4 separate regions of the Mus musculus genome follow, and all the other regions are reported to be linked to region 3. Evidence: microRNA targets listed by miRTarBase, many of them from high-throughput screens and not tested one by one. Region 3 holds a microRNA gene; each other region holds the end of a gene's coding sequence.
Evidence for each region. The annotated mature microRNA mmu-miR-706 reads AGAGAAACCCUGUCUCAAAAAA and lies in region 3 at 4,699-4,720, opposite strand. An mRNA with a match to its seed (bases 2 to 7 or 8) in the 3' UTR can be bound and repressed. Matches are read on the target gene's strand: a 7mer-m8 pairs with bases 2 to 8, a 7mer-A1 pairs with bases 2 to 7 and ends in A, and an 8mer does both.

Region 1 (8,166 bases), not on the chromosome of region 3:
ATAATAAATTCTTTTTGCAAGTTTTAAGGTTGAGGTATAGCCTTTATAAATGACATCCTGCTACTGGGTCAGCAGGTTGAACAATCCAATTATGGAGAGAGTCATAGGATGGCCAAGTGAAATATGTAAACTGTGATGTCAGTAGCCACAGAGGAGGCTAGTACAAACATAGATGTCACTGACCAACTCCTACCTTAGGGTGTTGACCGGAACAAGCTATTACCAGTGGGTTGTGTGTCCACATGATCACAATCATAGTACATACAACCGTGTAAGCTGGGAAATGGAACAGGATTATGCCACACATAAAATCGACCATAGGGAAGTAGATACAGCAAGGGGACAACTTCTTTCTCCATTTTTCTATGGCTCTCTCCTTTTCTTTTCTCCTGCTGTTTTTCCCCTTCTCCTTATCCCTTTTTTCTTGTTTTACCCAGAGTCTCACTGTGTAGTTTAAAATAGCGTCAAACTTGTGATCTTTTGTCCTCCTGTCTCAGCCTTAGTATTACTGGCTACACAACAGGATGGGTGGATGATGAAGTCCATCTGAGGCTCTCAATGTTCTTATTAGAATTTTATCAAGCAGGAAGAAAACAGCTTTGTAGAATAACTAAGCCCAGTGATTTGGGGAAAGTTTAACATTAAAGAGTAAAATAATTGTTATAAAAGACATATGAATATATAGACCAAAAACGTTTAAAGCAAGATGGATATATGTAAAAAAAAAAAATTAAAAGAAAAAACTAGTGATGGCTCTAAGTTTTGGATGAGAGCTAACTTTATTTTCCTAAATTTACTTTAAAGACTAAGTCTATATTTATTATTAAAAGAAAGATAACAGACTGACAAGAAGTAGGATGAATGTGTGTGTGTGTGTGTGTGTGTGTGTGTGTGCACAGATGAGTGAATGCAACAAATAGAGAAAAAAAAGGAGGCATAAAGTGAGAGAGAAATGGGAAAAGAAAGAAAAGATGATATATATCATATAGATTATTGATAGATAATTTATAGATGATTGATTATAGATGATGGATGGATGGTAGATAGATAGATAAATAGATAGATAGATAGATAGATAGATAGATAGATAGATAGATAGATAGATAGATAGATAGATTATAGATAACATTTGCTAGATATTGTGGGGTTTTGTTTTTTTTGTCAACTAGACACAGATTAGAGTCACCTGGGAGGAGGGAAATTCAATTGAGGAATTGGCTGTGGGTGTTTTCTTGATAAACAATTGATGTAGGAGGGCTTAGCCCTCTGTGGTGGTACCATCCCTGCACAGGTGGTCCTAGGGTGTATAAGAAAGCAAACTAAGCCATCCACCCAAAGCAAGCCAATAAGTAGCACTCCTCCATGGCTTCTGCTTCAGTTCCTGCCTCAAGGTCCCTGCTTTGATGGACTATGATGTGGAAGTGTAAGCCAAATAAACCTTTTTCTCCCCGAGTTACTTTTGGTCAGTCTTTTATCGTAGCAACACAGAAGTAAATGGGACAGAATAGGTATGTCCTGTTTCATTTCTCTCTCTCCTTTCCATTGTGAAGAAAACAGAAATACTATTTATTCAAAGAGGAAGGCTCATATTCCATCTCCAACCTATCTCTCCATTCTACACTGCAGCAGGTGCAGGCCTACCTCAGCCACATGAACCCGAGAGGCACATGAACCAGAGGTCTTAGGGACATAGTTCCAAGGATGGACCCAGAAGGATAGGGGTCTTTCACCACTACTCAACCCAGCTGGGGTTCTCAAACCTACTCTGGGTCTGCAAATGGAGGACACACAATTTAGTTGAATTCATTGTTGGCCAGTCGCTGTAGCTACCAGGGTCCATGGGAGACTAAGGACCTGCCACTTGGACATTGTATGAGGTATCACTAGACAGGCAATAGTGTGAGGGTCTCCATGCTGGCATGGTTAAACATGGATGCATGAGAAAGGATGGTATTTTCAGAGACCGGTTGGTATTCTTGCAGCAAGATCCACCAGAGGGAAAGAGAAGCTGAGAGAGAAACTTCTGGAAAGGAGAGAATCGGCCATTGGGGAACTAACATTCAGACTGGGCAGATATGACAAGCCTGAAGTTTGTATAGTTGGCAGGAGATGTAATGGTGGGGGTGTGTCTTAGAGAAAAGAACACAAGTGTTTCCCTTTCTACAACATTTGTGAAAATAAAGACTGCCCTGCACATAAGCAAGTGGGAGTTGAAATACAGGGCTCCTCAGCCACAAAGTGGGTCACCTTTGTTGTTCACTGCTTAAGGAACAGGAACAGAGATCTTAAGGCAAAGAGTGACATGGGAACGTCAGCATTTTAGAAAAACAACTTGCTGTCATGGCTTGTCATCCTGTAAGATGACATCAGTCACATTGTAACCTGAGTACCACAGGCAGGGTGCACAGGTAGCTGGGACCCACAGAGACTTTGGTTCCCACAGTGTCCCACTCAGAGCAGAGAACCCTCCTGCCTTCTTGTCGTCTCATCGGCATGGACAGTGTAACCACACTGTGTGTTACAATGATGCATGCCCATTGGGCAGTGCCAAGGGGCATACCTTGACCAGATACTGCCAATTCAGAGCTCAGTATAGCCAAGGATAGTACCTCAGTGCTCTCTGCATATGGCCACCACTGGCCAGGTGCAGAGCATCACGGCTCTGTGTCATCTCAATTGTCACCCATAATTGCTTTCTTCTTCTCTGGCCTGAGATGGTCATGGATTGAGGAGCAGTTGAATCCATGCCCCAGTGAGGCACAGAGAATGGAACCAAGGAGGCTAAAGAAGGGTTTCCACAAGTCCAAGGCTAGTCTGGGCTACCTAGTGAGTTCCAGGTCAGTCTGAGCCACAACATGAGGCCACATCTCCAACACCAAAACCAGGACCAAGGAGAAGCACTAAACCCTCAGCCATGAATGCTCCCAATGAATGCGCCTCATGGGTGCTGAAGCCAACATCCTAGGAGGGTGGCGAGTCTCACGCCATCTCCCACTCGGAACTGTAGTGTCCCTGGCTGTGTAATGTGGTGGGAATGATGAGGCCCACCTGGGCTGTGGATGAGAAACAGTTCAGAAACCTTCTCTAACACTCCCAACAACAATGAAGTGCTACTGAATAATGGGTGTGGGTTATGATCAGCAGAGAAGGATGTGCAGAAACCCAGGAGGGCCCTCGTTGGCCCAGAGGAGCATGGGAAGGGGCATGGCTACCTTTGACTTAAACAAGTTCCTTCTTTACATGAAGAGCAGCCCATATTAGGTGCCATACATGGGACAGAGCCAGGCTGATTTTCCAGGAGCTTTTTTGACTGAGCGTGCATCCTGGACTTTCCCAGCTGTCTCAGACCTTGATTCCAGGCTGTGTGCCTGTCTCCCCGACAGCATGTTGTCCAGTCCAGAGGGCCACTGCATACTGCTACACCACTCAAGTAGGGGAGAGGACAAGATGGTCATTTGCTTAGACTTGGGAAGCGTGCAGTTACTGAATAGGCATGGAGAAACTGCTCATGTGGGTTGCTATGGCTTTCCTTTTCCAATGTCAACAAAAACAGCACTAATGTGTAGAATCGAAGTTTGTCTTTTCAGCACAACTCATAAAGAAATTTAAAACCCTATATAACAAAAACTCCTTAAAATAAAAAGTCGACTCAGAAAATAACGCAAACAATATTACAGGTAGCACTGAGACCTAGTATGAATTTAAAAAAAATACTATTTCAAAGGATAGAATGGTGAAGGTACAAAAAAATTTATTTAAATTAAACATTTTGAAAAATCAATTTCATAACTGTTCCATGCATATTTAGTTTTCTTGAAAAAATGGAACAGAGTAGCTTAATGCCTGTGATAGTGTTTCACGAGATTATTAATATCCATCCGGGACTGGGCACCAGTCAATTACATCATCAACAATTCACTATTTGTTACCAAATGGTATATACAGTAATAGCATAAAGATTAAGTATATCTTATAAGTGATATTATAATAAGACTTCTTGGGGATCTGTCAACAATACAAAATATAAGGTGGACATAATAGCAGAATATAAAAACACATTTCATAAAGGCAATAATATACACGTGTCCAAGGGCAGACAAGAGTCTGTTAGCTCAGTGTTTGGTATGTTCCTTCAAAGGAGGTTTAGAGAATGGAAATGTCTGGGGTGCGACCAAAGCTCAGAAACATCTTTGGGTGTCACAGGGTGTTTGTTTGGGACAGCCAAAGGACTGTGGGATAGGTGATTGTTCTGATGTATCCACTTGAGAAACAAGAACCAAGTTCCCTTCACGCCCAGGGGAATGGTGCCTGGGATTCCAAGCGAGGGGCCCTTTGAATTAGGGGCCAGTTTGGAGGGAGAGTAACAGAGAAGAGAGAAAAGCCCTCCTGGGAGCAAGGGGCAGCAGACATTGGGCAGAGAGTCATCTTTTGCATCTGTAGATAAGAGTATGCTACAGCTCTGCTCTAGAAATCAGCACACCCCAACACTTTTGTGGACAGACGTTTTAGGTTTCTAGCTCTCTGGTTCATTCTGTGATGAGGGGATGAGACATTGTCACAGTTGAGAAGAATCTAAATCAGGGTACACACCTGGGGCACAGTGTTGGGAATAGGCATGCCTGCATAAGGTCATTTCTCACACTGTAGTCGCCTGAGATGTATGTAACAAAAATAATGTATCTAAAGTATATATTAAAAAAAAATCCAGGCTGGGTGTGGTGCCACTCACCTTTAATCCCAGTACCCAGGAGGCAGAGGCAGGCTTACTTTTGAGGTTGAGGCCAGCCTGGTCTACACAGTGAGTTCCAGGGCAGCCAGGGTTACACAGAGAAACCCTGTCTCAGAACAAAACAAAACAAAACAAAACAAAACAAAACAAAACAAAACAAAACAAGTTCTAATCTGATTTTGCTTTCAGTGATGCAGTTGAACATACTCATTAATTTTCCGAACCAGGGTAGATCTTTTCCTTTAAAAAAATTACATTTAGTGTGTGTGTGTGTGTGTGTGTGCATGTGAGCATGCTCAAGCACACATATAATGCAGGGGCACACGTGCATTTGGAAGTCAGAATACAACTTGCAGGAGTCAGTTCTCTTCTTCCACCATGTAGGCTCCGGATATAGAACGTAGGTCATCAGACTTGGCAGCAGGCAGTCTTACCCACTGAGACATCCCACACCATCTTGCCAGACCAAAGGTGAATATTTTTCTCGACTGAAGGAGTTTCTTTGGAATTCTAGGGTGGCTGTGGACAGTATTATAGGAAAGCAGAAAACCTGGGTCCTTGGGCAGTCATTCATTCATACTTTCCTTGGCCTTGAGAGGGCTGTAACTTGGAGATCCATAGAGCGAGGGCTTGGCTATGAAGCCAACCCTCACTGTACAGGAGAGAATAGTCAGGGCTGGTCAAGCCAGAGTGGGGTTTTGCCAGTTAGAGACTGAACTGAGATGGACCCCAGGCCCAGGGTCCATCTTACTGGGAGCACCACAGATCAGAAGTAGCTACACCAAAAGCAGGAGCTCCAATGCACTGGGCTTCTTCCCATCAGCTACACTGATGGTGTAGAGCGGCTAGGAAATCCTACTGCAAACAGCTCCCAAGGCTGTGCTTCCTTGATGAAGCCGACAAAACACATTTAAAGGGACAGAAGGAGCGCTGGATCCTGGCTTTTGACCGGAAGGCTCTGGAACAGCAGTTTTGACCTCTTGCCACCAAGGAGTGGCATCGCCACAGTTTCTGCTCAGCTCAGTGCTTCATAGGGAGGAGGGGATGGCAGGGCTGGGCCAGGCTCCATTCCTCCAGCTCTATGACACACTGTAGCTGTTGTAATACGTGGCCGTGGCATCAGCCAGGACTGAGATGAGGCTGGTCTCTGTAGGGCCTGTGGGAGTCCCCTGGGAGAGCGGGACATGCCCAGTGAGGGTTCCAACCCCTGCAGCAGAGTCAGGGTGGCCGGGAGTGTTCAAATACTGATCAAATTCATTGCGATCCATGTCTCCCAGAAGTTCCACCTGGCTTAGCTGATCCAAGGTGTCAAAGCCAGGGTGCTCCGGAGGTGGGGACAGCTGGCCCAGGTGGGCCTGGAGGTTGGGGTGGAGAGGGTGGTAGGTGGCATGGGAGTAATAGGCTGGAGATGGGGGACATCCAGAAACAGAGGACATCATAGAAACCCCTGGGGATTGGCCAAGGGCTAAAGAACCTAGAGGGTGGCTGCAGTGGAGGGGACTAGGTGTGAACTCCGGTGAGTAAGGGGGCCCTGGTAGATGGGGGAGGTGATGGGGGTGACCATGCTCCTCCTGACATGAGGACGAGAAGAAGGTCTGCTCTGGCTCCAGCGCATCCAGGGGCGACATCTCCGGAGGTGTGGGCAGCCCGTAGGGATACGTGTCCACACTGCCAGGGGCAGCAGCTGCACCTTCGCGGTAGCAGCTGTGCAGTCCAGGCAAGGTGGCCCCTGGGGAGTACTCACCCCTGTCCTCCTTCTCCCCCCTGCCAATGCCGTTTTTCTCAGGCAGCGTGTTCTGGTCACGAGAGAGGGAGCTGAGGAGGAAGCCAGGGTCCACGCGCTTGCAGAGGCGCTTGCCTTGTTTCTTCCTGCGGGGCCGGTACTTGTAGTTGGGGTAATCCTGCATGTGCTGCAGGCGCAGCCGCTCTGCCTCATCCACATAGGGTCTCTTCTGGGACAGTGTCAGCGCCTTCCATGACTTTCCTGATCACACAAACCAGAAAAAGGCATGCTCAGACTCCAAAGTGCTGGTTCAGCCTCCGCACCTGCTTCAGCCTCCTGCTTCTTAGCATCCCATTGCTGATCTCTGACCCCTACCCCACCCACTGGACCCCTCTCACAGCCACAAAGGACACCGCCTGCCTCTAGGCTCTTTTCATCCCAGATCACACACGCACTGAAGGGACTGGACCAACTCTTCCTGTTTGCATCGCACAATGTTGGAGAAAAGTGCTTAGAAATCATCATCTCACCCCAACCCACCAGATGTGGCAACCATTCCAAACCGTGAGAGTCCCAGGGAAGTCCTACCCGACCTAATCATCAGCAACAGAAAAAAAAATCTAAAGACTGTAATATTGACTAGGGTCCTTAAATCCTTTAGGGGTCAGTTGTGTTTATTTGTGCGTTTTAATGAAAGTTCCCTGCCACTTATGAAGGGATGTCATCCTGTTTAGTAATGTATATCTCTCATGTCTCTTAAGTGCGGTAACCCAGCTTCAGCCAATCGTGTCATCAAGAAGTAGATTAGAGAATTAGTAATTAGAGAGTAATTAGAGAATTAGAGAATTAGGGCTCATAAATAACTATTCCTCACCTCTGAGGGTCAAATAGACACTGCTATGGAAAGATATAGGAATAGCCTAGAAGCTAATATTTACACACACAGAGAGAGAGAGAGAGAGAGAGAGACAGAGAGAGAGACAGAGAGAGACAGAGAGACAGAGACAGAGAGACAGAGACAGACAGAGAAACAGAGACAGAGACACACGCACGTATGTGTGTGCACTACCACTTTCTCTCGTGGAGTTAGGACTTTCTGACCATAGCAGGACAGTTTCTCAGCCACAGCTTTCCACAGAGGCAAGCTCCTTAACTGCCCCCTGGTCTCCGTCTTTCTGACTATAACAGGTGCTGTTTCCAATGCAGGGCTCGGTTCTCCCTTTTAGGAGTCTCCTCTCTGTGTATCCCCACCAGTGTTAAAATGCTGCTTGTACTTGGTTTTCTATTCACCATACCCTACCAGTCTGTCCCTTTGCAATCACAAGCCACCTTGGTACACCACTTCCATCTTTCAATGGAACGCAGCCCTGCTCCAGAGAGTTCCAAGGATCACTTACAGACCATTTAAACTGCTGCCGACTAAAACGGAGGTAGGCATCTGCAAATTTAGCATGCTCTCCCATGACTCTAATGTACCCTCAAGTTTCAGACCCTCTAGTGAAGAGGACGAGGCATCTGGCCGGATAAGCCCTGTAAGGAAAGAGAGCATGTCTCCCTACTGGGTACAATACACTTGTGGCTAAGCACAGGGTATGTACACCCTGCCCTGGTTTCTGCCCTTGCCCACACTGGCTGGTTCCATGGGTCAGGATATTATAGGACACTGAGTGCTCAGAGGCAGAAGCTACCAATATCTGCAATTGTTGCAATTAGT
Region 2 (8,166 bases), not on the chromosome of region 3:
GGAAGAGATTGTCTCATTCCCAGCTACAGGTATTCAGGGCTTGTTTGCCTTCTGACTGGGAAAGAAGACAGATCCATGTCCTTTCTGTGTGGCAGGGAGAGGGAGACTTGCCCTGTGTTCCTGTTGGCCACTGTGCTGTTGAAGGGACAGGATCCTGGGTTAGCACACTGGTGCCACCAAAGGCCTCATGGGCAGGAAGATGATGTAATTAGTGCAGCAGAGATGCTGTGACTCAGAGGGAAGGCAGGGAGGGACCTGATAATCTGAGCAATGCGCTGGCCGGTGCCAGCTGGACTCCTGGTCTCTGTCAGGCACTGACTTTCTTTCCTCTCCCCCTTCGCTCCCACCCTCAGTGGAGAACAGAAATCCTAGACTACTGTCCCAGCACACGTGTTTTGCTTATTGGCTGCAAGACAGATCTTCGAACAGACCTGAGCACTCTAATGGAACTGTCCCACCAGAAGCAGGCACCCATCTCCTACGAGCAGGTGTGTGTGCATGTGTGTGTGTGTGTGTGTGTGTGTGTGTGTGTGTGTGTGTGAGGGGCACGGGCATGTGTGCACAGGTGGGATAGAAAAGGCTATGGCAAGATAAAATTAGTATTAGGGGGCTATCTATAAATAGCAAAGTGTCACCTGGGTTGGGGTGGCAGGAACTTGTTTACATAGAGTCCTGCCATAGGTTAGTTAGCCTGCGAGCCTCTCCCATGTGTGTGCCAGCATTTTTAAGGTTTTTTTTTTTTTTAAGCCATATGTATCATACTCATTAAAGATGCTTGTTAGATCTGGGTGTAGTTTGTAATAGTTTGTAATCCCAGAACTCAGGAGGCGGTGGCAGAAGGATTCCAAGTTTGTGGCCAGCCTGGCTCGGTCTCAAAAAACCAAAACAAAAAACAAAAAAAACAAAAAAAAAAAACAAAAACAAAAACAAAAAACCCATAAAAACAAAAAACAAAACTAAATTAAAATGAACAAACAGAAAGAAGTAACTGTTAGGATTTTGAGTTCCTAGTTCCCTGCCTGTAAAATAACTCTGGGAGGAAAGACACGGAAATCTGTATTTCTACGACAAGACCAGAGGATACTTTTTAATTACTTGTTTAATTGTGTGAGTGGTACATGCCGCGTGCATGTGTGGTCTCTCAAGAGTTGGTTCTCTCCTTCTGCCGCATGGGTTTCTGGGATTGAACTCAGGTTGTCAAGCTTGCTGGGAAATCTTTGCTTCCCTCTGCTGAGATGTCTCACCAGCCCCCGGAATAATTTTAATGCACACAGGAGTATAAGAATGCTTGTTAATATTTCTTATTAGAACCCCCTGGGGGCTCTTTTTTTTTTAAAAGATTTATTTATTGCTATATGTAAGTTCACTGTAGCTGTCTTCAGACACACCAGAAGAGGGCATGAGATCTCATTACAGATGGTTGTGAGCCACCATGTGGTTGCTGGGATTTGAACTCAGGACCTTTGGAAGAGCAATCAGTTCTCTTAACCGCTGAGCCATCTCTCCAACCCGGGGGTGGGGGTTGGGGGGGGGACTCTTAAACATCCTGACATGAGGGGCTGGTGGAATGGCTAAAGGGGAGGGAAGGCACTTGCCACTAAGTTGATGACCTGAGTCTGATCCCTGAGACCCAGTGGTGGGAGGAGCGAACTGGCTTCCCCAAACTGTCCGTAGATGATCTGCCCGTGGATGCTGTGGCGTGAGCCACACAGACATACAGACACTCACGTGAAAGAAATATGTTTTGGTTTGGTTTGGTTTTTTTTTTTTTTTTTTTTTTTTTTCGAGACAGGGTTTCTCTGTGTAGCCCTGGCTATCCTGGAACTCACTCTGTAGACCAGGCTGGCCTCGAACTCAGAAATTCGCCTGCCTCTGCCTCCCAAGTGCTGGGATTAAAGGCGTGCGCCACCATTGCCCGGCATCAGTACGCTTTTTAAAACGTTGTAGGTGATTCTAGGCTGCAGTTAGTTTTCACCTTTGTGAATGCTGGCAGGGGCTGGGGGAAGACCAATAGTGGGGTCGTGGGGGGACGCATGGAACCCTGATGTTTTGCTCGAACAGACACTTGAGAGGACATGTATGATATTTGGAAAGAATGCCACACTGTTCCTTAGTCATCTTAAGGCATTGCGTTCATGACCACACCCCTCCCACAGGGCTGTGCGATAGCCAAGCAGTTGGGCGCAGAAATCTACCTGGAGGGCTCGGCTTTCACTTCCGAGACAAGCATCCACAGCATTTTCCGGACAGCATCCATGGTGTGTCTGAACAAGTCTAGCCCAGTGCCCCCGAAGAGCCCCGTCCGAAGCCTTTCCAAGCGACTCCTCCACCTCCCCAGTCGCTCTGAACTCATCTCAACTACATTCAAGAAGGAAAAGGCCAAAAGCTGTTCCATCATGTGAAGTCAGAGCTGGAGGCGGGGGAGACAGCCCCCCACTTCCTCCCTTGGGGTGCAGAGGCACGGGGAGAGGGAGGATGAGACGGCTTAAGACACCGGATGTGACATTTTTCAGATGGCCACAGAGGACTTTAGAAGGAGACAGGAATGGAACTGAAGAAGATGCCAGGCTTGGCAGGAGGGCCTGACATTAAGCAGAAACCATCACACCCCAAGCCTGGCACTAGGCTGTGGAGGGGGTCGTTGCCCCAGTGTCCCCCTACTCCAGAGGAAGGATGGGTACTGGGGAGATGGGGACATGCTGGCCTCACCTTCGACATCACGCCTTTTCCATACAGCGTTTCCAGGCAGGCTTGGGGTGGGCGGGGTCCTTGATCCCTTCTCTTCTCCTTAAAGAAGTGGCAATGGACTGGAGACCGTGAAAGGCTGGAGACAGCTCCCTTCGGGGCTTAACCCAGACGCTCCATCACTGAAACCAGGAGGGCGAGGGCTGACCTAAGAGGGAACCCTCATTTTTGCCTAACCCATGCATCATGGAGAGGTGATATTATACATTCACATGCTTCTTACTGAAGTCCCCAGGGCCCAAGGGAGAAGCCCCAGACCCCCTTCTCTTGCAGAATGTGGGGGTGGTGGTGCTGTGGGGGCAGGACTGATGGGAGGGGTCACCAGACTTTCCTGCCCCTGGGGCGGTACAGTTGGCATTTGTTTTATAGACTCTTGTCTTTGGAACTGGGGGTGGGGTGGGGGAGTGTTTCAATCTGTTCTATGTTCCGTGTTTAAAGAAGAAAACCTATTTATTAATGAAATATAACATATGAAGAAATTGGTGGGGTTTTGTTGTTGTTGTTCTTTGGTTTTTATGGCGATCAGGGAAAAGCTGAAAAGCTGTCTTTTTTTTTTTTGTTTTGTTTTGTTTTGTTTTGTTTTGTTTTTTTTGAGACAGGGTTTCTCTGTATAGCCCTGGCTGTCCTAGAACTCACTCTGTAGACCAGGCTGGCCTCTAACTCAGAAATCTGCCTGCCTCTGCTTCCTAAGTGCTGGGATTAAAGGCATGGACCACCACACCCCGGCGGAAAAGCTGTCTTGGATCCCTTTCTAGGAGTTACAGTGGCTGTCTCCAGGGTCCCCTAGCATCTTGTTCTACTTCTCTGAATCCCACCTGCATCCTGCTAAGCCAAGAAAGAGGTCCTTGGCCCTGGAGTAGGGCTTCCTTCTCGTCAGGCTGCTGATACTGTGGAAGTGAGAATGGTGGTTTATAAGGGGCTGTCCTATGTAGGGTATGATGCCCTGACATCCCGGTTCTAGATAAGAGTAGCATGTTTCAATTGTCACAGCCAAAAATGTCTCTAGATATTGCTGAGTGTCCTCTGGATAAAATCACTTCCTGCTGAGGACTAGGAGCAGCGCTCTCAACCTTCCCGACGCCTCCACCCTTTAATGCAGTTCCTCATGCTGAGCTGACCCCCAACCATCAAGTTATTTTTGCTGCCACTTCATAACTTTAATTGTGCAACTGTTGTGAATCGTAATGTAAATACCTGTTAGGCAAACCCAGAGGGGTCGAGACCCACAGGTTGAAAACCACTACCCGGGGCTGGTGAGATGGCTCAGTGGGGGGCTGGTGAGATGGCTCAGTGGTTAAGAGCACCGACTGCTCTTCCAAAGATCCTGAGTTCAAATCCCAGCAACCACATGGTGGCTCATAACCATCTGAAATAAAATCTGATACTCTCTTCTGGAGTGTCTGAAGACAGCTACAGTGTACTTACATATAATAAATAAATAAATAAATAAATAAATATTTAAAAAAAAAAAAAAAAAAAAAAAGAAAACCACTACCCTACAGAGACTGAAGAGAGAAAGCTCGCCTCAAATAGAGGGTCAAGCTGCTGGGTAGGCGCCGCACAGACTAGTTCAAAGCCTAGGGGTGGCTCCTGGGATTCCCATTTCCTGAGTTCAGGGAGAGGTGACTTTTGCTGATGGTTTTCCAATTCCAGTATCCATTGATGGTAGCTCAGTTTTAACATCTCTTCCTTAGCGACTCGCACCTCTTGTTCTCAAAGGTTCATAGAAGTAATAGAAGGTTATTATGGGGGCTGGGCAGATGGTCCAGAGTTTAAGAGCACTTCAAGTTCTGTTCCCAGCATCCACACAGTGGCTGACATCTGTAACTGCAGCTCCAGAGAACTTTATGCCTTTTTCTGGCCTTCATGGTCACCACAGGCATGTGGGCGCCCATGCAGACAAAACACCCATATATGTAAAATTTTAAAAAAAAATCTTAAAAAGTTACTACGACTAAGTATGATGGTGTGCCTTAGTTAGGATTTTACTGCTGTGAACAGACACCATGACCAAAGCAAGTCTTATAAAAGACAGCATTGAACTGGGGCTGGCTTACAGGTTCAGAGGTTCAGTCCATTATCATCAAGGCAGGAATATGGCCGCATCCAAGAGAAGCTGAGAGTTCTACATCTTCATCTGAAGGCTGCTGGCAGAATTCTGACTTCTAGGCAGCTAGGGTGAGGGTCTTAAGCCCACGCCCACAGTGACACACCTACTCCAAGGCCACACCTCCAAATAGTGCCACTCACTGGGCCAAGCATATACAAATTATCACATACCTTATGCCTGGAAGCCCAGCACTTAGGAGACGGAGGCAGGAGCCAGTCTACCCTATGATGTAGCAAGATCTTGTCTCCAAAAGATAACTTATCATGCATCTCTGTCCTTTAAAAGGATCTTGCTTTTTTTTTAAGATCACTGTAGCTGCCTTCAGAAGCACCAGAAGAGGGCATCAGATTTTGTTACGGATGGTTGTGAGCCACCATGTGGTTGCTGGGATTTGAACTCAGGACCTTTGGAAGAACAGTCCGTGTTCTTAACCGCTGAGCCATTTCTCCAGTCCCCTCATTTTATTTTTAATAGTGTGTGTATGTGCGTGCGCGCGCGTGTGCACATGTGTGCGCACATGCATGTGTTCATGTGAACGCAGGCGCCCTCGGGGACCGGAGGCATAAGAACTCCTGGAGCTGGAGTTAACAGGTTATTGTGAGCTACCTTACTAGGTGGGCACTCGGAGTTGGACTCAGGTCCTCTGCAAGAACAGCAGGTGCTTTCAATTGCTGAACTACTTCTTCAGCCCTGTTTGATGCATCTGCTTTAAATAAGCAAACTTAACCTCAAAAAGAAAACTAGTTAATATTTGTTTTAGTGTTGCCGTGTGTCAGAGCACTTTATATTATCTGTGATAACCTTTTGAGCGATTGCCTATTTCGCTATACAGGCAAAGAGGTCTTGAGAGATTATTGTGCCCAAGCCATGCAGCCAAATGTAGAACTCTAGAACATTTTTGGAGACAGGGTCTTACTATATATAAGCGCAGGTGACCTAGAAGTCACAAAAACCTGCCTACTTCTGCCTCCTGAGGGCTGGTATCAAAGATGTGCACACCACTATGCCCAGCTGCTGCAGCCCAGGGTGGCTTCAAGTTGCAACATACCAGAGGAATTTCTTGAGCCGCTCTTCCTGTCTCTACCTGCTAAGTGCTGGGACTCCAGGGCTGTGCCACCATGCCTGGGTACCAAGCCTAGCTTTGAAATGCACACTTAAAATTTGTTTTCTTTTCTCTTTTGTCTTTTCTCCTCCTCCTTGTCCATCTTGCTTTCAATCTCGCTCTCTGAGCTCTCTCTCTCTGAGGGAGCTCCCTGTTGAGTTGTTACCCAGGATGGACTCCCACTCTGGGCTCAATGGTCCTCTCAGGCCAGCCTTCTGAGGAGTTGGCACTTGACACTATATTTGACAACATAATATGCTTTTTTCTTGTTTGTTTGTTGTTTATTTTGTGGAGAGGGTAGGAGTTGAGACTGGGTCTTGTTTTGGTTTTGGTTTGTTTTCTTGGTTTTTGGAGACAAGGTTTCTTTGTGTACCTCCCCCTGGCTGCCCTGGTTCACTCTGTAGACCAGATTGGCCTTGAAGTCACAGAGATCTGCCTGCCTCTGCACCCGCTCCATTGCTGGGATTAAAGGTATGCACAACCACCACCTGGGTCTTATGCAGCTTATATTGGTCTTGAACTCACTATGTAGCAAAGGGTAACATTGAACCAATGGCTGATATTTCTAACATCACAAGTGCTGGTAGTACAGGCATGCATCAAGAATATAACTTTTAAGTGCCTTTCTAGCTCATCCTGTAAGGCAAGGAGTATTATTTTTGTTTTATAAATGATGCAAAAAATACTATATACTATATAATATGCATGTTATATGGTATATGTATTATGCGATCACATATAATATAAAATTCATATAGTATATAATATGTTATATAATAATGTTATATAATATGCTAACACATATATGCATATACTATATTATATATAGTATATAATATGCAGAATATCATACTGCTAGTGACTGAGTCAGGATTCAAACCTAGCCTCACTGTTAACTATATTACACGAACCCTTTATTTTTAGCCATGTTGCTAAATAGGAAACTGGCCTTGATCCTTACTAAATATAATCTTGAGGGCTAGAGAGTGGCTCAGTGGTTAAAGTGCTTGCCTTGCACACATGAGTTTCTGAGTTCAAATCCCTGAACCCACATAAAGCTGCCTTGCTACATGTCCATAATCGCAGCACCTTCACAGTGTGATGGAAGGTGGAAACAAGATGACAGACAGCCAAGGACTGAGACTGTGGGTTATCATGTGATCTCCATGTGTGTGGCAAGCCTGTGCCTATACACATGAACGCACAATACACATAACACCCAACACAAACACAGCAACAATAGTCACAAGAATAATTTGTAAGAGAGCTAGAAAAGCAAAATCAATCTTGCAGATTGGTATCTTTCTTAGCTGTGTCCTGAGAAGTACAAAGTACTAGGAGAGTGCCACTGTGAACTCAGACAAAGCACTAGGAGAGGGCCACTGTGAACTCAGACAAAGCACTAGGAGAGGGCCACTGTGAACTCAGACAAAGCACTAGGAGAGGGCCACTGTGAACTCAGACAAAGCACTAGGAGAGGGCCACTGTGAACTCAGACAAAGCACTAGGAGAGGGCCACTGTGAACTCAGACAAGCCTTTTCAACTTTCTGAGTCTCAATTTACTCTTTAAAAAAAAAAAAAGATTTATTTATTTATTAAGTGTAAGTACACTGTAGCTGTCTTCAGACACACCAGAAGAGGGCGTCAGATCTCATTACAGATGGTTGTGAGCCACCATGTGGATGCTGGGACTTGAACTCAGGACCTTCAGAAGAGCAGTCAGTGCTCATAACTGCTGAGCCATCTCCCCGGCCCCTCAATTTACTCTTTTAAAAAAGTGTTCATTTAGGACTTGGAGAGATGGCTCCGTAGTTATGAGCACTGGCTGCTCTTCCAGAGGGTCTGGGTTTGATTCCCAGCACCCACATGGCAGCACACAACTCTCTGTGACTCCAGTTACAGGGGACCTGACACCCTCTTCTGGCTTCCTTATGTCCGAAACTCCATATGGTTCACATATATACATACAGACAAAAAAAAAAAAGGAAAAAAAACAACAAATCATACACATACAACCAAAATAAATAAATCTAAATAATCAATAATTGTGTATGTGTATACAGAATAGTATTTTGAAATAAGGAAAGGTAAGGTCTCAGAGATCAAGTGAACCCCTGGGCTTCAGATCCCCTTCTGTTCTTCAACTTTGTGGACTTGGAATGGAGATGTAGTGAGCTATACTTTCCTTATCACTAAGGTCATGCGCAG
Region 3 (8,166 bases):
CACCCAGCCGACCGGAGGGAGCAGAGGTACTAAATTCAATTCCCAACAACCAGATGAAGGTTCACAACTATCTGTACAGCTACAGTGTGTACTCATATACATAAATAAATAAATCTTTTAAAAATAGCAATTAAAATTCAAGTTACTGAAAATATATTAATATAAAAAATAATAAAGCTGAATATGGTGGCATACACCTTTAACCCCAACACAGAGACTGGTAGATCCCTGTGAGTTCCAGCCCAGCCTGTTCTATAAAGGGAGTTCCAGGACAACTAGGGTTATCACAGAGATGCTGTCTCAAAAAAACAAAAACAAAAAAACTGACATACCAAAAATCTACTAAGCAGTAGTGATTATTATTTCAAGTATTTTCAGAAATTATTTCATTTCTTCTGCCATCAGTATTATCTAAAACATTGGTTCTCAATCTTTCCAACACAAGCCTTTAATGTAGTTCCTTATGATAACCAACCATAAAATTATTTTCATTGCTACTTCATAATTGTAATTTTGCTACTGTTATGAATTATAATATAAATATGATATTGAGAACCACTGATCTAAAAGAAAAAAATTAAAGCTACCAGAAATCTCAAATAACACGATTTAAATTCTGAATACAGAAGCCCAGTTGTGGAAGTACCAAAGTATGAATTAGGGTAAATTTCACATGACCAGGATCTTGCACTTGAATTTTTTTAAGCTCTTTTTTTATTTATTTTTTATTTTTTTAATTTTTTAAATATTTATTTACTTACTATATGTAAGTACACTGTAGCTGTCTTCAGACACTCCAGAAGAGAGCATCAGATTTTGTTACAGATGGTTGTGAGCCACCATGTGGTTGCTGGGATTTGAACTCAGGACCTTTGGAAGAGCAGTCTGCGCTCTTAACCGCTGAGCCATCTCACCTGCCCGCACTTGAATTTTTAATGTGAACAAATGAAATCAGTCACCAGGTTAACATTATAGCCTCACTTGTCTTTTATATAATATAATCTCTTTCCAAGTTCATAGACTAGGAATAACTATGTTAATCTGGGTCAGAATAAAAGGAAAATACAGAAAAATGACAAATTTAAATTCTTGAGACTGTGAAAAAGAACCATTTTAAGAAGTCAACTAATTACAATTCTCTAGAACAGTTATTTCCTACAACATTAAGTATGTATTTTAGGGATTGTTTTGTTTAGAACAGTGTATCTGTAATTCTGTAGCCAGGCTAATCCTAAACTTGTATTAGACCTTACTATTTCAGCCTCCTAAAAAATATATTGCTTGCATTCAAATCCAGGCTCTGCTAAATGATTGCAGCTAGGATTACAGGTTTGCACCACCATGCCAAGTTAACATACATCTTAAATCCAATCTTACCTAGCAAAAATCATATTGTTTCTAATTGTTTCTGAGTTTGAGCAGCCTAAGCTATACAGTGAGTTCTAGGTCAGCCTCAGGCACAAAGTAAGCCCTTATCTCAAAATTAAAAACCAAAACAATCAAATGATTCAGTTCAATGAGTTAAAGCTAGCAAAAAGAATAAATTGCCAGGCAGTGGTGGCCCATTGCCTTTTAATCTCAGCACTTGGGAGGCAGAGGCAGGCGGACTTCTGAGTTCGAGGCCAGCCTGGTCTACAGAGTGAGTTCCAGGACAGCCAAGGCTACACAGAGAAACCCTGTCTCAAAAAAAAAAAAAAAAACAAAAATAATTATTATTATAGATATATTATAGTACATAAACAATAAATATATTTAGGCCAGAGCGAGCCTTCATTCCCAGCAACCACATGATGGCTCACAACTATCATACATAAATCTTTAAAAAAAAACAAAAAAAAACAAAAACCACCCAAAAAGTCATGTAGTTAGGAACTCAAACCATAACTTTAAGATATAGGCATTAAATGGACTGGAGTGTAAACAAAAATTACAACTTTTACTTCTCTTTTTAGGTAAAGCTGAAAAAACACATCATCAGTATATAGAGCTTCAAGGAAATTCACTATTTAGAGACAACTTATGAGAAAAATGTCAGAAATAAGTAAATTACCAGGTCTACGTTTGTTTTTGTAAAGCAAACTACATGCTTTCCTAATAAGCACGCTCCCACAAACTGTCCCAGCCTCCAAAGTGTAAACTCTACAAAACTCCCTAGAAACATGTTTCCACCAGCACAGCTGACTGAATTAAAGTGCTTTTTTGCCTAATAGATCCTGATAAAAGAATTAAGAGTTTTAAGACTTCTGTTATTACTTAAGACTGGTATCGAGCCGGGCGGTAGTGGCACACTCCTTTAATCCCAGCACTTGGGAGGCAGAGGCAGGCAGATTTCTGAGTTCGAGGCTAGCCTGGTCTACAAAGTGAGTTCCAGGACAGCCAGAGCTACACAGAGAAACCCTGTCTGGAAAAAAAAAAAAAAAAAAGACTGTAAAGACTGTGGTATCAAAATATTACCTATTTATTATTGAAAACAATTTGGTAGATAGCTACACATACTGTGACTCTAAAAATAACCTAACAATAGGAAGTTTAATTTGTACACCCCACGCATTCATCCTCCAAAGTCTAGATCCCCATATGAAGTGATAAAAATTAAATTTGTCATTTATTAGAGAACTTTAGAAATCCTGACAGCCACTTCTACACAGAATTAGTATAACTTCATTTGAAATTAGTATTACTAATTAGCTATCTACTGAGACTACAAATGTAGTTTGGGGTTTTGTTTTTGTTTTTGTTTTATTTGATCAGTTGTTTTTAGGTTTCTCTGTGTAGTCTTGGATTTTCTGGAAACTCACTATGTAGACCAGGCTGGCTTCAAATTCAAAAGATCAGCCTGTGACTGCCTCCCAAGTGCTGGAACTAAAGGCATGTACCACGACAGCCTGGCCTTTCTAAAAAACAAAAATTTAAATTCTTCTTGATTCTTCAGAGTGTTAACATGTATACACAAATATATCCACCACCATTTCTCCCCTCCAAGTCCTTTTATATGCCCCCAACACATACTCCTCAACTCTTTGACTCTTTAAAAATAGCCTACTAAATCCAATTTGTTGTTGCATGGATTTGTGACTGCCCATGAGAAACCTACCAGTTGGGAACAACATGATAAAAGATAATGATTCTCCCTCTCAGAGAAGCTACAACTGCCAAAGACTCCTTAAGATGGGATAGGCCCTGAAGAGCATATCTATGCCAGAAATTTGGCTGGCAAGTTTTATTTTAGTAACCACAGTTGTTTCCTTTACCTTTTCTGGACTGAACCCAGAACTTTGTAGCTATTAAACAAATATTCTAACACTGCACTAAAGTACTCTACCATTGAACTGTATCCCCAGCTCTCTTCTCTTTCTGACTCTAGTTTTGAGTTAAGGTCTCATTTTGTTGTTCAGGCTGACCTAAAATTTACTCTGTAGCCTAGACAGGCCTTGAACCTGTGATCTTACTGTTTCAGCCTCATTGAATAACTAAAATTATAGGCCTCTGCTACCAGGTCTAATTTGTAATTGCCTTCAATACCTTCCAAATTGCTATATCATAACTATTTTAATGTTTGTAATTTCTTAACCAAAGCTAAATTACTTAATGCCCTATGATTTCAGGTCCTTATTTAACAAACAAGTAGGTGGGAGAGATAGCCTGATTTTATCCAATTTTGCATCTATTTATGTAGGTACACATGTGCCACAGCAAGAGTGCAGGGGTCAGAAAACAACTTTCACAAGTTGGCTCTCTCCTTCCACAATGTGGGTGCTATATTGAACATCAGGCTTAGTGGCAGGGGTCCTTACCTAATGAGCTATTATTTCCCAAAACCCTTCTAGTTTTAATACACTAAAAATTTTAAAGCTAAGCATGGTAGTACATGCTTAAAATCACACTGCTAGGGAGATAATGTCAAAGGGGTACTTTTTTTCCTTTTCTTTTCAAAGCTTTACTTATCCTTAGGTTTGACCTTTAATTTGAACCCAAATATTTTGATCTAAAACAAAATGATATGGGCTGGAATGATATGGCTCAGCAGTTAAGAACACTGACAGCTCTTTCCAGAAGTCCTGAGTTCAATTCCCAACAACCACATGGTGGCTCACAACCATCTGTAATGGGATCTGATGCCCTCTTCTGGTGTGTCTGAAGACAGAAACAGTGCACTCATACACATAAAATAAATAAGTCTTTAAAAATAAATAAATAAAAATAAAAAGTAAAAGCACACATTTATAAAAAGCCACATGGTGGCTCACAACCATCTGTAATGAAATCTGACACCCTCTTCTGGAGTGTCTGAAGACAGCAACAGTGTACTTATATATAATAAATAAATAAATCTTAAATAAATAGATAATTAAATAAAACAAATGTAATTGAAGAATTGAATTCCTGGATCAGTAATAGATCCTTGGTACAAAAATTCCTATAAATCAGTTTCATCTAAATTATTGAGTATGACTGCCCAGTAGGAGGAGAGGCATATTTTGACAAGTTTACCAAACAAACAAACAAACAAACAATGAAGGTAAGTTTGTCTGGCATGGTCCTGTAATACCAATACTCCAAAAGCTACAGCAGAAGAATCATGGATTCAAGGCCAGCTTGGAGTACACAATGAGTCTTCACAATATAGGGTAAGGGAAAAAAAAAGCCATCTCAAAAAACAAAATAAACCTACTAAAAGTAATTTTGTTTGTTTTTTTGTTTTTTGAGACAGGGTTTCTCTGTATAGCCCTGGCTGTCCTGGAACTCACTCTGTAGACCAGGCTGGCCTAGAACTCAGAAATCCACCTGCCTCTGCTTCCCAAGTGCTGGGATTAAAGGCGTGTGCCACCACACCCGGCTAAAAGTAATTTTTAAAAAATACCTGTCACGGCCAGGCAGTGGTGGCACACGCCTTTAATTCCAGCACTTGGGAGGCAGAGGCAGGCGGATTTCTGAGTTCGAGGCCAGCCTGGTCTACAGAGTGAGTTCCAGGACAGCCAGGCTATACAGAGAAACCCTGTTTTGAAAAAAACCAAAATATTAAATAAATAAATAAATAAATAAATAAATATTTGTCACATTTCCAACTCTTATCAGTTATAAAATTAACAAGGGGTAATTTTTTTTTTGGTTATTTTACTTCATTAATGTGCTTAGAAGTTCCATTTTAAGTGTTGAACTCAAGGAATTATGTTCAAGAACTTGCCAGTTTCATGTTTGCTTCCACATGCTGAGTTAACGTTCTTTCACATTTTTAAAATAAAAACAAAACGAACACTCATTTCCAATGGTGAAAATAAATTTCAAGCATATAGAGAAGTGGAAGAGAAAGCTTAATCGACTATCTTTAAGTGAACAATCATATGCTGATAATTGTTGAAGCTGGGTAATTGCTCACCTTCACTAGATATTTAGAAGCAAACTCCATTTTTTTTTTTTTCTGAGACAGGGTTTCTCTGTATAATCCTGGCTGTCCTAGAACTCACTTTGTAGACCAGGCTGGCCTCCAACTCAGAAATCCGCCTGCCTCTGCCTCCCGAGTGTCGGGATTAAAGGCATGCACCACCACATAGAAGCAAATTCCAAACATTATTCCTTTCACATTTCAAATGACCTTGGGACATTTGGAAACCAAGCTGTTTATTAATTCTTGGGTAAATCAAGTTCTGAGATTATTTCAGTTACTTTCCAATCCTATTTCAGTTTGGTCCATTTTCTTGACAAGAAATCAGTAGTGGCACTTTCATCTATGATGTAGCTGAAATTCTGCTTCCACCACAAATACATGCTCATTTCTGGATGTGAACAAGTGCTAACAAACCAATATTTATATAGATGCTTTATAATAACATTTATTTATCGCTATAATATATATTATATTATATTATATTATATTATATTATTTATATAAATATAAATTTATATAATAAATATAATAACATTTATTTATTGCTATAATTCAAGCAATTAGTAGTCCAAACTAATCTAGCATATACCTGCACTTTATTTATAACCTGAAAATTTCCCTGAGATTAAAAAAAAAAAGGAAGGAAGGAAGAAAGCACTGTAATCCCTCGGACTCTTGGGAAGTTTCATTTAAAAATCTTTTATATCCCTGGCATAGTGGCATTAACTTATAATTCTAATACTCTGGAGGCTGAGGCAGAGGGATCAACAAATTCAGGACAGTCTGGGCTATACTTTGGGACACTCACAAAAAGTCTTTTATAAGATATTACAACAATGATGGTATTATCACAACTTTCAAAGCACTTATACAATTTTGCATGGACTTTTACTATTCACTATGGACTGAATAGGATGAAGACAGACTAATGAACAGTGTCAGATCACAGCTAGCCATAAGGCTTAAGCACCTGTAGGTGGTTATATTGGTAGGTATATACTGTACCTTCCTACTCTGAAAGCACTTAAAGGGAAAGAGAGTTGGGAATCAGGGACTGGGTGGTTGTTTTGATGGTGGTGCAAGACTTTAATCCCAGCACTTGGGAGGCAGAGGCAGGTGAATTTCTGAGTTCGAGGCCAGCCTGGTCTACAGAATGAGTTCCAGGACAGCCAGGGCTATACAAAATCCTGTCTCGAAAAAACCAAAACAAAACAAAACAAAAAAGACAGTGTCTCACTACCCAGGCCAGACTGGCCTTGAACTTGAGGCTCTCCTGCCTCGACCAATAGAGTAAGTAGTTGGGATTTCCAGGCATGCCTTTATTAGCTACTATGCTATGATATTCTGCTATCAAGAAAGTTGTTCCTTAAAAGTACAGGGTCTTGTCTAACAATCAGATTTTAGAGATGGAAACACACAAGGCAGTTCATTATTGCAGAGGCTTAGAAGAGAATGAAGTGTACAGGAAAAAAAGGTTTGATATTTACTTAAAGCAAAAGAAAAAAAAAAAATTCCCAAAGGCTGAGGATATATTTAGCTCAGTGGGAAAGCACTTGTCCAGGCCCCACTTCTTCGATCCCCAACACGAAGGGAAACCCTTTTCCAATAATTCCATGTCTCCTGCCTGACATTAAACACACAAGTTTGTACTTAAATGACTCTTTTTACCCCTGGCTGATAACAATCCTTCTTGACACCAATAGTTCCTATCTTTTCCAAACACCTAACTAACTACAAGCTCCACAATCTCCCAATTTCAACCTCTTTGGACACTAGTCTTCCCGCCCTCTCAGAGTCAGAGAATTACAAGTAAAGAGTGAACTCGACAAACTGGCTTAACAGAGCCAAATTTGGGATCCAAACGACCGAATAAGAAAAAAGGGGGTGGGGCATTACCTGCAATTCACACCAGGCGACTTCCACAGTGGTTTCGGTGTCCAGACCTTTGTAGACTGTCTTAAAGGAGCCTCTGCCGATTTCGATGTCAAATTTGAGAAAGCGACCGTCATTGGACATTCCCACTGCCTTGGTCTCCAGCTCTTCGATATCATCCTGTTGCTGGCTCCTATCCTCCTGCGCCTCTTTGGCGCTGGCGCCACCACTGCCACTTCCACTTCTGGACGGCGGTGGCTCCTCTTTGCTCCCCACGAGGCTGGGCTGGGACACCGGGCGGTCTTTGCTGGTACTGCTGGGGACGGTCGTGGTGGCCGAGCCTACAACGGCTTGTTCCCCAGGGGAGGCAGCAGCCGAGGGTTGCTGAGACACCTGGGAAGCAACGGTGGCGGTCAAAGTTTCCTCTCTGTGAGGTTCGGGTGGAGCACTCTGGGGCACCACTGCAGGTACACTAGGTTGCGGGATAGAGAGAGGGAGGCCCGGCAGCTCCAACGCGGTGGCATTGGAGTCGCAGATGACGCTTCGGCGGAAGAATCGGTGCTCCGTGGGGGTGGTGGTGGCGGCCGCCCCACGACTGTCCTTGTCCATAGTGTGCCGGCGGCGCCGATATTCCTCCGTCCTGCCAACTCCCGAGTCGGCGACCGTAGCCCCCAGTTTCTCGCCCACGGAAGAATCGGAGCTTGAGCCATTCTTGGGGACGGGCGCCGGAGGCGTAAGGAAGCCCGGAGTGCCGCTTTGCTTCTCGGCGGCACCGTCAGACATGGTCGGTCCGATGGAGTGAAGAATGCGGGCTCGGATTTATGAATGAAAAGGGAAAAGGGTGACCCGGAGAAGCCACCAAGAAGTGCTGGGCAGCGCTCCTACGGCGGGCTCCGAACCACCGGACG
Region 4 (8,166 bases), not on the chromosome of region 3:
GGGGACTGTAAGAAATCACCTTGAGATGGGCAATCTTCCACTGTGAGCTGAAGGCTTAAATTGGGAGCTGGTAAAGGCAGGGTCATTGTCCGTGTTTAATCTGCTTAGGAATGCCCATGATGGCAAAAGTGGAGTGCACGTGTGAATTAATCTTTCTGAGCTTTCCCCCATTTGGGCTGTAGCCCATATGAAATGTGTTTATATGTCTATAGTGACAAAGATATATTTTTGGTGTCTGAATTGGGAAATGTGGGTGTCATCAATTTTCAAGAGGCACTGGATTTGAAAATTTTGGAGGTTAATGACCATAGTTTGTGAAGCTGGGGTGGTAATAAGGGCACACAAGAGGAGCATGCTCATATTATCCTCTGAGGTTGCGCAATAGGGACGCAGGGGAAGTAGGCATGAAACCCTTTTGTGTGTGTATGTGTGTGCGTGCATGCACGCGCGTGTGTGAATGAAATCGATCTGCTTGCTCAGCAGAGGCTGTGAATGTTCCTATAGAGGCAGTTTGCTCAGTGAGGGCTCAGATATTAGACCTTGTAGGGATCTGTGAGATTTGACCTGCTGGCTGTAGAGGGGTGACGCCCTTTCCTGTAAGAGGATGGAGATGTGGATGAGAAAAGGGGATAGTGGATTCTCAGCTAGTTTGACAAAGAAGCTTGATAACCAGGGAAGCAAATTCACAGCATATATACTGTCCAAGAAAAGAAAAAAGGGCCCATTGACTTCCTTGAGGACTAAATAAATTACATGTAGTTTCTTATATTTGGGGAGTGATGGGGCAACTGTCTGAATCAAAGAGTGGGGAGTTCATTCCTGGGGGGGGTAGTACATTATTGCCATGGCTCCCCTCTTCCCTCCACCAGTAAATACTGAGCAGGTCTCAGTGATGGGCCTTTTTAAAGCCAAGCAGGTAACAGAGGTAGGGGCAGAAATCCAACTTTAGTTAGGATAATAATATCAGTTTGTCCCAGGAACCCTATTATGCTAATATCAAAGTGGGAGTGATTTCTGAGTAGCTGTTGCATATTGGAGAGAGAACAGGGTGAAGTGGATATGGGGTTCTTCTCTTAGGTCTCCAGGGCGCTCTCCCTGCCATTTCTAATTATAATTGGGACTACATGAACCACAGTTAGAATTCTAGGTGCACTGCCCACCGAGATGTGGAGCCACTCCAGTAATCCCTGGGGCTGATACAGTGCTCCATGAGAATAGGGGAGGAGTTAAAAAGAAGACGACGTAGGGCACTGTTGGATCATACCTAGAACGTGCTATGTCTTTGGGGGCTGGATTGATGATACCTAAAGCCTTGACTGCCCCAGAAGAGAGCTTGAGGGGAGGAGGAGTTTTTTTGTTTGTTTGTTTTAATCACCGATTAGAAGATCAAAGAGAAGCACTGGGTACAGGTCTAGAGCAATGCCGAGGTCTTGTGCTCCGTGTATTCAGGTGCTGATTTCTGTGCAACCCAGATGTGGGCATTTTCATGAATATTGAAGAGTCCCCTGTATCAGTGTGATATAAAGAATGTTTCTCAATAATCTCTGACTGTTTAATAAAAAGTTCTACAGCCAATGACTGGGCAGAGGAGACAGGAAGATAGAACTTTTGGTTCTGGCCAGGGGTGTGAGTGAGAAGAGCCAGGAGAAGGATTTGTCATGAGAAGAAGCAGGTAAAGATCCAAGAGAAGGGCTGTAAGATGGAAGACAAAAAAGATGTCTGCCACCGGGCAGTGGTGGCGCACGCCTTTAATCCCAGCACCTGGGAGGCAGAGGCAGGTGAATTTCTGAGTTCGAGGCCAGCCTGGTCTACAAAGTGAGTTTCAGGACAGCAGGGCTATACAGAGAGACCCTGTCTCGAAAAAACAAAAAAAGATGTTGGCCATAAGTCTGGGCATGAGGAGGAGTCTGCCAGGAGGACAGAGAGCCACAGCAGAGTGAGCCAAGGAGAGACTGAATGCAGTAACTTGGGCCTGTGGCTGGAAAGTTACTAGATAACATAAAGGGTTGGGAATATCTCCCAATTATTGTGCTTAATGCTTGTTGAATAATCTATAAGTCTCCATCTCAATTACTTGGACACTAGCCAGGTTAGAAAAAACTGCAACCTTTAAATTTCATTCTATAGTCAAAGCCAATTAAGGTTTTACAAAAAGCTTTGGAGAGAGGTGAAAGCTAAGGTTTGAGGGAAGGGAAGGGCGGGTTTAAGAGGGTGCACTTGAGGAAGGGACTCTAGGACCCTTGATCCAAGTAGCTCCAGTGTCAGCTATACCCAGTAGACAGGCTCAATCCCTTAGGTCTCCAGTGCCTTGTAACAAGGTTCCTTATAGATGCATTTTGTTTGCTGCCTAATATGTGGCCTGCTTCTTGACACAGGTAGTTTTGAATCCAGCATTGTTCTTATACTGGATTTGAACCATATAAAAGAGGCCATGTCCAAGGGCCAAGGAGCACAGGAGAGGCCCATCAAGGCAGATACAAAGCATGTCTGAGTTTTCTACACCAACCAAGGGCAGGAGGAAGGATATTCCTTGCAAGTATAGGACCAAGAGAGGTGGTAAAATGGCACTTTCAGGGCCTGGGAGCTGGAGGACACCTGTCTTTAGATAGATGGCCTCAAGTCTAGTACAATTCTTTATTGCTGCTTAGCAGCAGAAACCTAATTACAGCTTTGCATGGCACTAATTATTGCTTCTTTCTGAGCTCTACTGGTACAAAGCGGGTGCTACACAAATCGCCCCATTCAAATTCAGACAGTGCTGAGGTTTTTATCCTTTTTGTCCCCTCTAAACCTTGTGTTGAAATTTGGCCTCTAAGTGAGTTGATTGGAGGCAGGAAGGGCCTGTGAGAAGTAACAGGGTTGGGTGTGTGTTCTTGTTCTTGGGGACTGGATTAATTTCTGTGAGAGTGTGCCATGCTATTTTGTTTCTTTCTCTTTCATGTGCACCTACTTGTCCTTCTGCCATGAGGCCCTCACCAGCTAAGCAGAGACTGGTGCCATGCTCTGAGCCTCCAGAACTCTGAGCCAAAAGAGATTTCTCCCTTCATAAGCTGTGGACTCACAGATATTTTGTTATACTAAGAGTAAACAGAATAATAAGATGGAGTTTCATAAAGCTTGCCAGCCAGCCGCTACAATCTTCCTTGCCCAAACAAGCCAACCATTGTCTCACTGAAAAATAACCTAAGAGCTGATAGCAGCGTCTTACTTTACATTCTTTTGGGAGAAGGTCTGCCTGTGGCATGTGACCTTCTCTCTTTGAATAGCACTAGACACAGCACATGGGAGCAGATACTGAAACTGCAGGGTCTGGGTTCAAATCTTGATGGTATTTTCTAGCTATATGACTGGATCATCATTTAACCTAAGGTATAGTTCCATCATGAGGAAAAGAATGCTTATCTAACAAACTAGTTCAAGCAAAGCTCTACAATAATAGCTGGAACCTAGCAGACCATGTTAGCTATAGTTTTATTGACATACTTGACTAAATATGTCAAGGTAGCTCTCAATTGATAGCTCTGACTAGCCTGGAACTATGTAGACCAGGCTGTCTTCAAATTCAAACACGAATCTGCCTCTGCCTCTGCCTCCCGAGTGCTGGGATAAGGCTTTGTCTGCCATGCCTTGCCTCTCTGCTGGTTTTTGTTTGGTTGTTTTGGGCCTTGGTCCACCTGCTTCTGCCTCCCGAGTGCTGGGACGTGAACTACCATGCCTCGCTCTCTCTGCTATTCTTTAAGGGAGATTTTATTTAGAGAATGGATTGAAGGAGCTGAAGAGTTTGCAACCCCACAGGAAGAACAACAGTATCAACCAACCAGAAGTCCCAGGGTCTAAACCACCATGTAAGGAGGACACATGGAGGGACCCATGGCTACAGCCGTATATGTAGCAGAGGATGGCCTTGTTGGGCATCAATGGGGGGAGAGGCCCTTGGACCCGTGAAGGCTGGATGACCCAGTGTAGCGGAATTTGAGGGCAGGGAGGCAGGAGTGGGTGGGTGGGTGGGGGCACACCCTCATAGAAGGAGGAGGGGGGTAGGAGTTTGGGGGGGGAGAATTGGGAAAGGGGATAAACATTTGAAATGTAAATAAATATCCAATAAAAAAGGGAGATTTTATTTAAAAGTTAAGAGTTTCTCAGGGCAGTGGTGGTGTGCACCTTTAATCCCAGCACACAGGAGACAGAGGCAGGCAAATCTCTGAGTCCAAGGCCATTCAGGTCTACAGAGTGAGTGAGTTCCAGAACAGCTAGAGCTGCACAGAGAAGCCATGTATTAAAAACAAGTCCAGGGGGCTGCTGAGATGGCTCAGCGGTTAAGAGTGCCGCCTGCTCTTCCAAAGGTCCTGAGTTCAAATCCCAACAACCACATGATGGCTCACAACCATTCGTAATGAGATCTGACGCCCTCTTCTGGAGTGTCTGAAGACAGCTACAGTGCACTTACATATAATTAATAAATAAATAAAAAGAAAGAAGACAAGTCCAGCGTATGTAGCTGTGCTAAGGAAACGGGGGAGGGCGGGTTATTATCCAAGTCTCATCTTCTTGTGGGGGGGGAGGGGCGGGTTATTATCCAAGTCTTATCTTCTTGTGGGGGGGTAGGGGCGGGTTATTATCCAAGTCTTATCTTCTTGTGGGGGGGGGGAAATGCCCAGTGGTGAAGTCCAGGCCTCACAGGGGTGTGGGGTAAAACTGGAGTTATGAACCCCTTTACCTGAAAATGACCCTGTTTCCAGCCTGCCAAAGCCATATTGTAGTTGTTCATGGTTTCTAGACTTGCTTCCCTTGTTCATATGCATTCCATTTGATGGGAAATATGGTTGAACTGAATACAAAGATAAATTTTGGCAAATGGATGGAGCTCAAAATGCTATGGGTTGTGTGGCTATGCCAGGTGGAAGGATTGAGGAAGGTGTGGGCCTTTGGAAGAGGCAGCAGAAAACTCGGTCAAGTCTGGGTGGGTCCAGCCACGGTATCTCACTAAGATTTGCCTCATCCTCAAACCTGGGGACTCTGGCTTTCAATAATTGACATACACCCTGCATAATTTAGAGTTGTTTTATTAAAAAAGAATAAAGAGGAAAGAGGCCGGGCAGTGGTGGTGCATGCCTTTAATCCCAGCACTTGGGAGGCAGAGGCAGGCGGATTTCTGAGTTCTAGACCAGCCTGGTCTACAGAGTGAGTTCCAGGACAGCCAGGGCTACACAGAGAAACCCTGTCTCAAAAAAAAAAAAAAAAAAAAAAAGGAAAGAGGAAAAAGAGGGAGGGGAGGGGAAGGGAGAGGGGGAGGAGGAGGAGAGAAGGAGGAGGAGGAGGAGGAGGAGGAGGAGAGGAAGAAGAAGAAGAAGAAGAAGAAGAAGAAGAAGAAGAAGAAGAAGAAGAAGAAGTAGTAGTAGTAGTCAAACAACAAAAAGCCCAACCGAAGAATTCTTGGTTCTGTGTGTCTGGGAGCAGCTTAGGTGTGTGTAGGGAAGGTAGAACCTGGAAGACAATAGGGGACTTAGGCAGCCCTGGGAAGAACAAAAGCCCAGGTGCTGACTGGAAGTACAGCATTTTCCCAGGACTTAGTCCCTCTCTGGGGCTTGTGGTCATCCACTAAACACAAGTGTGGGCTCAACACCCCCAAATGACAGGTGGGGTGCTCAGTCCCCAGAAAAAGGCAGGGTGGGCAGTACTAGAACGCCCTTGGATTCTTCTCAAAGTCACCAACAAGTTGGGAAGGAGTGGGTGGCCCATCAATGCCATCCCAGAAAGTGGGGTTCGAACGGGCGACACTAGGATGGCAGGCTCAGATGCAGACGCACCTCCATTTGGACACAGGGCTCAAGGCCGTGGGGAATAAAAGGGCCCTAATGGAGCAAGACCTGAGTTCCTGGAGGCAGGCGGATCTCAGGTACCCTGGGGGATACGGGGCAGTGCTCTTATGGGCCGAGGGGGAGGATTATCCAGGACAGATTCTGGCCTGGACCGCACACCACCGCGGCGTTTTTGCTTCCTCAACAGATAGTTTGAGTACTGCACCTCGGGCATAGCAAGCTTGAGGCAAGCCTCCGTAGTAGGGCCAGCGCCGCCGCTAGGCAGATCATAGCCCATGATGTCCACTTTGCGGCTAGGCTGCCACGGCTGCAGCTGCTTTGTACGAATCTGGGCAGCGGGTCGCAGCACCGGCTCGTCGCCAAAGCAACGACGCAGCAGACGCTGGCGGGCCTCGCGCAGCTCGCGCGCTTCGCGCTCCACGCATGCGCGGCCCGCGCGCGCCACGCGACGCCAGAAGGTGGCGTTGAAATGGTCGTAGAGGCCCGCATCGAGCGCGTTCCAGGTGCGCGCGGCCCGCGCCAGCGCCTCGGGGATGGTGGCCAGGCGCGACGAGGCAGCGCGCGCGTTGAGCTTGGCGTAGAGCACGTCGTCCAGGTCCCAGGCCAGTAGACGCCGCAGCAGCACGAGGGACTCGTCGAAGTACTCCGCGATCATGACGAGCGAGAAGACCTCCTCCACCTGGCGGATGAGGCCCGCCAGGTAGGCTGCGTCGTCACGAGGGCTGCGCTCATTGTCGCCTCCAAGGTCGTAGGCCAGCGTGTTGTGAGCAAACATGGCGAAGTGCTCGCCTGGACGGTAGTAGGCCTCGGGTGCGCGCAGGAAAGTCTCGAGCGACGCATTGGGCACGCGCCTGAAGGCCGGGCAGTACTGGTTGTAGTAGCTGAAAAGCGACTCGAACATGGCCGCGGGTTCGCGCAGGATGGTGACATAGATCGTGTCTGGAGGCATGAGGCGCTCGAGTTCTGCACGGTCGAAGCGCAGATGGCTGGCCAGCATGTGCGGGGGCCTCGTAGCTGGGTGCACGAAGTGGGCCGAGAAGTTTCGCGGGTAACAGAACTGGTGCTCGCAGCTAGGGTGAGGCAGGGCCACCGTGAGGTTGTGGCGTTCTGCGAAGCGGAACAGGATGTTCTGCACCGTAGTACCTGCTGTCTTGTGAGTCTTCAGGAAGGCCACGGCCATGTGCTTGGCCCGAGGTGGCGATTCTCGCAGAGGCGGGCAGCTCAGAGGGAACAACTTGGGGTACCTGCAAAGCCCAGGGTGTGTGAGAGGCGTAAAGGCAAGGAAGTGAGTCGGCCTGATCTTTCCTCTCATGATTGGAGAGACCAGGTGCCAGGTAGCCTTTAAGATGGGTTCTACAGGGGCAGGAAAGACTGCCTATTTGTGAAGAACACTGGCTGCCCTTCTAGAGGACCCAGGTTCATCTCCCCAGGCCCTATGTGGCCACAGTTGTCTGTAACACCAATCACAGAGGATCCAATGCCCTCTTCTGGCCTCAGATGACACTGCATGTAATACCACCCATACACAGACACATAAGGGGCTGGGGTTGTGTATGGCGTGGGAGGCAGAGCTACGTGGATCAAGGTGAGTTCGAGATCAGCCTGGTCTCCAGAATGAGTTCCAGGCTAGCCAGAACCACACAATGAAATCCCGTTTAAAAGGGGTTGCGAGGTGGGGAGATGACTCCTAGTAGCAGGTACACCCTCACATAGTCTCTTCCCACTGAGCGGGACTAGACTGACTGATGCACTCTATGCTACAGAGTAAGGTAGAAATGATGCGGAATGGTCTCTGATTTTATAGTGGGGAAAGGCCACTGGTTTCTCTCTCCAGGATAATGTGCATTAGAAGGAGGCGGTCCCAAAGAAACTGAGCACCGAGTACTGTCAGCCTGCTTGAAGAGCTGGAGAGTGCGGAACTACCTGAACTTTCTCAGATTGCTTTTAGTCAGTCCTTCAGAAAAGACTGTGTGTCTGGCAGACACCTTGACTGAAAACCTGCAAGAGACCTGGAGTCACGAGTTCTCGGCCGCATTTGGATTCATGATTTATAGAAATGGAAAGAGAATAAATGTTTGTTGTTTTCAGCAGCTAAGTTCTTTACTCTTTATTTATTTAATGTGTGTATGTGCAGCAGGTGCACATATGCCAAGGCGAGCAGGCGGACATCAGAGGATACCATTTTAGAATTGGTTCTTTCTTTCTACCTCGTTGAGGCTAAGACTCTCCTGTTTCTGTTGGACTGTGCCCTTCTGGCTGATCCTCCAGTCTCCGCCTCCCATTTCTCCTGAAGAGTTCTGGGATTGAGAGCTGGTGAGTTGGCTCAGTGGTTGGGAGCACTGACTGC

Region 1: miRTarBase lists Sox7 as a target of mmu-miR-706. Seed matches in the 3' UTR shown: 7mer-m8 at 4,828-4,834 and 8mer at 4,264-4,271.
Region 2: miRTarBase lists Rnd1 as a target of mmu-miR-706. Seed matches in the 3' UTR shown: 7mer-m8 at 3,346-3,352.
Region 4: miRTarBase lists Gal3st3 as a target of mmu-miR-706. Seed matches in the 3' UTR shown: 7mer-m8 at 5,211-5,217.

What each region holds. Positions count from the first base shown.
Region 1 is chr14:63,946,302-63,954,467 of GRCm38, reverse strand. Sox7 (SRY (sex determining region Y)-box 7) reads right to left here. Exons shown (of 2, transcript NM_011446.1): 2 at 3,736-6,713. The coding sequence ends at 5,809. Among named protein-coding and RNA genes, the nearest start is that of Sox7, 6.7 kb to the right of the region's middle.
Region 2 is chr15:98,664,833-98,672,998 of GRCm38, reverse strand. Rnd1 (Rho family GTPase 1) reads left to right here. Exons shown (of 5, transcript NM_172612.3): 4 at 354-488; 5 at 2,157-3,794. The coding sequence ends at 2,402. Among named protein-coding and RNA genes, the nearest start is that of Ddx23, 6.0 kb to the right of the region's middle.
Region 3 is chr6:120,029,592-120,037,757 of GRCm38, forward strand. Mir706 (microRNA 706) reads right to left here and starts at 4,720; the gene lies at 4,637-4,720. It overlaps Wnk1 (WNK lysine deficient protein kinase 1), which reads right to left. Exons shown (of 28, transcript NM_001199084.1): 1 at 7,283-8,166. The coding sequence starts at 8,041.
Region 4 is chr19:5,305,621-5,313,786 of GRCm38, reverse strand. Gal3st3 (galactose-3-O-sulfotransferase 3) reads right to left here. Exons shown (of 3, transcript NM_001024717.2): 3 at 5,048-7,063. The coding sequence ends at 5,893. It overlaps Gm42064 (predicted gene, 42064), which reads left to right and starts at 6,684. Exons shown (of 2, transcript NR_166897.1): 1 at 6,684-6,867; 2 at 7,654-7,909.